2 linked regions of the Daphnia pulex genome follow. The protein of the gene in region 2 purifies or fractionates together with the protein of the main gene of each other region. This does not show direct contact. Links are inferred from orthologs where the notes say so. Each region holds a gene or a part of one and is shown on either strand. Other genes may lie near its edges.

The links. The genes of interacting proteins can lie anywhere in the genome.
Region 1: the proteins of TATA-binding protein-associated factor 2N-like (region 2) and fragile X mental retardation syndrome-related protein 1-like purify together in Drosophila melanogaster (affinity purification with western blotting; 4 studies listed by BioGRID, with this or other methods). This does not show direct contact. The link is inferred for Daphnia pulex from reciprocal best matches to the Drosophila melanogaster genes vig and Fmr1.

The regions. Positions count from the first base shown.
Region 1 is NC_060025.1:5,457,559-5,461,312, forward strand, and holds the start of fragile X mental retardation syndrome-related protein 1-like, read right to left. Parts: upstream 2,526-3,754; 5' UTR 2,416-2,525; coding exon 2,365-2,415; intron 2,039-2,364; coding exon 1,986-2,038; intron 1,929-1,985; coding exon 1,775-1,928; intron 1,670-1,774; coding exon 1,506-1,669; intron 1,366-1,505; coding exon 1,272-1,365; intron 1,208-1,271; coding exon 1,065-1,207; intron 1,005-1,064; coding exon 857-1,004; intron 791-856; coding exon 509-790; intron 291-508; coding exon 178-290; intron 107-177; coding exon 1-106. UniProt on the Drosophila melanogaster protein: Polyribosome-associated RNA-binding protein that plays a role in neuronal development and synaptic plasticity through the regulation of protein synthesis of mRNAs.
Region 2 is NC_060019.1:5,854,469-5,857,272, forward strand, and holds the end of TATA-binding protein-associated factor 2N-like, read right to left. Parts: coding exon 2,695-2,804; intron 2,452-2,694; coding exon 1,578-2,451; 3' UTR 1,568-1,577; intron 1,502-1,567; exon of another isoform or gene 1,499-1,501; 3' UTR 578-1,498; downstream 1-577. Other genes in the region: uncharacterized protein LOC124191497, read right to left, coding at 1-23, 128-171.

The sequences.
Region 1 (3,754 bases), on a different chromosome or scaffold from region 2:
ACGACCACTGCTGACAGGTGCTCCTCTCCCTCCACCTCGACCCCGACCACGTGTCATGTTTCCTCGGTCACGATTTCCTCCATTATCTGGTTCAGCACTATACCCCCTAAAAATAAATTTAATTGGAGGAATGCCAAGAAATTTAAAATAAAACAAACAAACAAACAGCCAAAATACCTATCAATGCGTCGTGGAGGTGGGAAGGTAGGGGCAGATGTTAGGTTGCTATTGTGAATAGAGCGAAGTTGCTGATCGATCTCCAATTTCTCCATGCGTAATTGTTCCACTTCCTGGAAACAGTCAAAAAAGAGTAATTAATACAGCAGCTTAAAAATCTTTAGGGGGATGACAACTCAATGTATGATTGTCTACTGCTACAGAAAGTAACCATGTCAAGTATAATTAATACTGATTTGGAATCAACCATGCTGAATGAATAGAAACAAAAACGTTGCAAAGAGAGGCTACAAATGGTGATACTAGGAGGAACTAGACTAAAATTTCGTACTTTCAAATGTGCTAGATGATACTCGAGAAGGACTTTGGCATTGGCTATGGAGTCCACTGTGCCCACGAACACAAATGGAACCAATCCATCTTCGCGAGGATGAGTCGGATTAGGTTCGTTGTCTCCTTCAATTTTAACCCGGACAACATTACTCTTGTCGACAATCTCTTGAATGACACGCCCGTTCTTTCCTATGACTTTTCCGACCAAAAACCGAGGCACCTGAATGGATTCTTCGCCATATTCCAGCATTCCACGAGCTTTTCTTACTGAATCTTCAATCTGAAATTCGAAACCACCAATTACAACAAAACCACATGAAATAAAATAAGGCGGTAAATGAAATACTTCTCCGTGTATACGAAAGGTACAGGAATTCTCCAATAGCTCAATGTTGGTTATCCCATCAATCTTTCGAGCTTGTTGAATGTTGGCTCCATGCGCTCCAATAGCCAATCCCATCAAATCCTCCCTCACCGTGAACTCCTCCGTAAAGCTTCAGAAATAAGATAACTTAAGTAAGAAATGCAAAAAACTGTTGACGCTATTCACTCACCCTCCGCTAGAATGTGTTCTTGTACATTCGAGCTGTTTAGCAGCTTCTTCAGTTCTTTTGAGCAGCACCACTTTTTGCGTCAGGTTACGAAAATGCATATCCTGCAACAGACCAGCTCGCTTTCGACTGGATTCGTGCCGTGACTGAACAATCAAAAACATTAATACATTAATACCAGATCAATAAATAAAGAAAAACAAAACTTACCATAACACTAAGCATTCCTTTATCGGGTACATATCGACAGACGGCTGCTTCAATCGCTTTTTGAAATTCCTTGTGTACTCCATCCCTCTTAGCACTGAAACAGATAGTGGTGCAATTACAATTTGGTTTAGGTGTTTTTGGTATACACCAAATAAATATTGTTTTTCTCATTTCATTTGAATAATTAATACTGTTTTGGGTTTTGTTAAGTTAACAAGTGTAAGTAAAACTCACTATTCCCGTAGTTCTTCAGGCACCTCAATTTCAAATTTGAAAAAGTTGGCTTTTGTTAAAGGTGAATTGGTGTTTGATGGACGAATTCTCTCACCAGGTACTATTTCCGAATATGACATCTCCCAGCCAACATATTCCACGACATAAAACTCTCCTCTGATCATCTAAGAATAAAATAAATACCAATGAATTTCAATGTATTAATTCTAGATCATCTTTCAGAAATATTTTCTTGTTTCCTTTAAAAATGAATTAATCAAGAAAATTACCTTAATAACAGCTTTCCACCAACCAAATGCTTCCTGTTCATTTGCTTTTGAGTAAACTTCAATTTCTTGGTTTTCTACAAATGTAAATGGACCTTTGCTGTCCTTGAGAGGTAAGCGGGACCTTGAAAATAGAAACTTTGTTTCTGGCTGCCAACTAATAAAAAAGGGTAATTATTGGTTTGGTAAATTCTAACTTATTTAATATACATACTCATTCTCAAATGCAACAGAAATCTCATCTTCATGAACATCAGTGACAAATGCCTGTAGAAGATGGCATAAAATTCAAATAGTTATAACACAAAATAAGACAAACTAAACACAGCTATGAAAATTTATAAAAAAGGACGTAGAAATTTGCATCAAAACAGTCGGTAAATCCTTAATACTAACAAATTCTACAAGCCAAGCCATATTATCAAAAAGGGCAGGGCCGGTTCATTCACTACCGATTCCAGCCTAACATTTTCGGACTTAAAAGACTATAAACAATATTATCGTTATACATGATGAATCCAGAAGAAATAATTCAAATTTATACAGAATTGACATTGCTACAGAAATTAATAAATATGTATTTTATTATTCACCTTATACCAAGCCCCATTTTCACCCCGGACTTCAACGGCAAGATCCTCCATTTTCCTCGGGGAGCTCGAACACCGTTGCCAAATTGCTCAATTCCAAATTGCAATGCCTATGACTCGTTTCCCCTTGCCAGATTTATTCTAATGATCAACGTTTTCTCAGAGTTGGTTTTCTATTGCCAATCGTCAGTTTTCGTCACGTGTCGCTTTCGTTAAACTACTGCATCTTAAAAAAAATTAGAATACAGACTAAAACTATATTTCATTAGATAATGTAAAATACAATTCCAATTTTATGGAATGTTGCTAAAACGAAAGCGATCCCTATTTGTTTTGACATAAAATCAGGTTAACACTTCACAGTTGGGAATTGGGATTAATAAGATGTTGATGGTTACCTATCAACTTTTACGAAAGATCGTCTATCAACTTCTTGCTCTCTATTGAGCCTAGAATAATGTTTCAAAAATTACCGGTGGTTTGCATTTCTTAAGAAAATTCCTTAAGTTTCTGTGTAAATTTTAAGAAATCTTATGCTATCCCGAGGACTCGGAATTTATTATTTCAAGTCAAAACCATAATGGATGTAAAAATATGTGAATAATCGCATTCGAGCTGATTCTAATGGAAAAAAAGAAAACATTCTAATGGAAAACAATTTATTAGAATAAAAATCCCAACCTCAATTCGTCTCAATTAAAAACAATTCGTCTCAATTAAAAAAAAAAGAAGTTAAATAGCAGAAAAAGAAAGTGTTACCGCTATACTTGAATGATATAGGCACACAACTAACGGTCACGACAGCTGAAGCTGATAGTTTGCTTCTTTCCAAAAGTATTTTATCACGCCAATTTCGATTATACTTAACAAAAACAAAAAGTAGATTTATTTGCTGTAATCTTTTGATGTAAAAATTCAGCGTGAATCGAAATGGATACCCAAAACCGAATATTCATAAAAGATTCAAATTGAGTTAAACTGAATCGTGATTTGGCCAATTCGAGTCGAGACCATTGGAAAAAAAAGAACTATCCAACTCAGGAAAATTACCGCAGTTTTTGGAAGCTTCGGAACAATTCTCCGATGCATATGAGAATATGCACCTCTAGACCTTTTTATTGTTACTTAATCCACGGTACCAACAAAAGTAGCATCCGTAACCCGAACCCGATGCCAAATTTTAACAGCACTTTGTCTGCCCTACTGCATCAGTTTAAACGATAAATCAATTTAATACATGATTAGGTTAAACTAATTAATGTTACAAATTCACAAAAAAATAATTATCTGATTACCAAATTTTACTTAAATTTTTTTTTTTAAATCACACGAAGGAACGCTCCAGTATCACTCATTGGTGTGCTTACATGCTTACAAGTACATCACAATATCA
Region 2 (2,804 bases):
TTTCTTTTATGGCAGCGGGTGAGCTTTATTTGAGAAAGGAATGAATCGACAAAAAAGAAACAAGAGGATGAATTTCATCAACATAATTCCGATTCAGCACGAGAGAATGTTTGTATCCGTTACTTACTTGGTGAAAGCTCTGCGCAATACATTCTTGTTTGCTCCCGCCATCCAATAACTCACGTCCGAATTGTTAGTTCTACAAAATGAGTTTGTTTGTTAACAAGGCCATCATCATTGAAAAAGGTCAAACATACTAACATAGTGGCCCAACCCCGGATGGACGATAGTTACCGTTAGTCATTCATATTTAGATCGACGACGTAGACAAATTGATTCAAACAGCGCCGCCGCCACTTGACAAGAATATTTCCCATGACGTCAACACGCTCAACGTTCTTCTTATAAAGATGCCCCGTGTCTGCTTTTCATCTGAAACGATGAAGGACGGTAAATCGACATACCATCCATCGCATCAAGGTCGAAAGACTCACCGACATTCGCCAAGATGTAAAACAAAACCTTGATTTCTACTACAAACTACTACGAAATAAAAGCGAAAGTTAACAAAGACAACTTCTTTTCCATTCAGCGCAAAATGGCGTTTTTTTTTTATTTTTTCTGAAACGGATCGTCATCTGTCACATGTCTACACAAAAGAGGGCAGGCCTCCTCCTAAAGAAAAAAAAAAGAAACCAAGTCATAACCACAACCACCCCACCAATTAACACAACTTCGTTTTTTTTTTGTTTGTTTTGAATACTTCAATGAACGGAGGCTCCAAGAGAATTCCAACTCATAACTGTAGGGGGGAGAAAAAGAAGAAAAAAATGGATAAAGAATACATCACACCTTAATTTTTTTTTCACGTCCTCAAAATACTTTGAACAGTCCAGACTGGGCTTGATTGGATGGGAGGGAGGGGGCGGGGAGATGTTTGGCGAGAGAAATTGACAAAAAAATATTTCCAACAAAGTCGAGAGAAAAACCCGTAGTAGTTTCATCATTAAGGGATACTAATTTTTTTTGTTTACTTAATCTTCCTATATGGAGAATCAATTAGGAATTAATGTACTTCGAGCTTTCATTGAGCTAGATTTTTTTTCTTGTTACGCAGGTGGGACGGGTTTCTCAAGAAATAAACTACTTCAACTTTGATTGCTTAACACCTGGCATGGTGTTGACGCTTGGAGGGAAATGAGGTGGGGCAGGGAGGGGGAGAAGGGATCGAATGCGAGGATGTAAATGTAATACACGACGAACACGCACACGCATAGAGAAAGACAAAAAAAAAAGAAAGAAAAGAAATGGAGCTACGTCATTTGATTTAACTATCCATCCTTAAGATAAACGAGGATGTGGTGGTGGTTATTGGCTTCTTTTTTTTTAAGGAGAAAAAAAATTGGTGAGTAGTGGTGGGGGAGCCTGGTCGAGCTGGCGGAGGAGGCTACTCGTATGTGTTCACGAAGAGGTGGTTTTTAGGGCACACCTGTCAACCCTGCTAAAACAAATAATAATTCAATTAGTTCAAGCTGGTTTAAGAAAGGCGTTTTATTTTTTTGGTTACCTATGAGGATTTAGCCGAGGGCCGGGAAATCCTTCTCATCGTCCACTTTAGGAGCGGCTGGCATGGACGGACCGCGATTACCACCACGGGATCCTCTTCCGCCACGGTAAGTACCACGTTCGCCTCCTTCGCGATCGCCGCGGTATCCACCACGATATCCGCCACCACCTTCACGTTGTTCGCCTCCTTCGCGATCGCCACGGTATCCACCGCGGTAACCTCCACGGTAGCCGCCTTCACGTTGCTCGCCTCCCTCGCGATCTCCGCGGAAACCTCCACGGTATCCGCCACCCTCACGGGTCTCGCCTCCCTCGCGATCGCCACCGCGGTATCCACCACGGTAACCTCCTTCGCGTTGCTCGCCTCCCTCGCGATCTCCGCGGAAGCCTCCACGGTATCCGCCGCCTTCACGTTGTTCTCCACCTTCGCGATCGCCGCCGCGGTATCCACCACGGTAGCCTCCCTCGCGATATCCACCACCTTCACGTTGCTCTCCACCTTCGCGGAAGCCTCCACGGTAACCGCCTTCGCGATCACCACGGAATCCTCCCTCGCCGCGACCCCTTCCGCGACCACGACCACCGCGATCGCTTCCACGACGCGAGTCAGAGAAGCGGATCTCGATGTCCAAACGCTTTTGGCGTCCAGCTCGTTGAGGATACTCGGCCGTCAGATCGATAATTTCCTCTTCGCTTTCATCGTCATCCTTCTTCTTGTCAAGAACAAAGGTCTTTTTCCATTGAGAGTTGTCTTCACCTTCTCCTGGCTTGCGAATATTGAACTCGGGCTTCTTGCGTTCACCCCTCAGAGCTCTCCACTCATCTAGCGTCAACTCCTTGGGCTCTTCATCTTCAGGAGCCACTGGAGCAGTCTCTTCTCCCTCCCTATAATTTGGAAAAGATTCAAATTATTATTTTACATCTAATAACAATTTCAATGGTAAATGTAAGTCTTTAAAAGTTGTCAGCATCCTTTTGGCTTGCCTTATTCAACGAAAGTTTCTCTGAAATCTTTCTCGGCGTCAAAGTCTCATCAGTTTGAAATAAAATAACAAAATAGAACCCATGCACAGTAGATAGTGGTTCAAGCTAGGAAAACAATTAGTTTAAAAATAAAGCCTTATTTACTTGACTTCAGCTGTTTCAGCAGGAGCGACGACTTCAGCCTCTCCCTCGACAACCTCTTCAGCGACAGCAGGCTCCAGCTGGCCCTCAATTTCGTCTTGGACGCTTCCCCA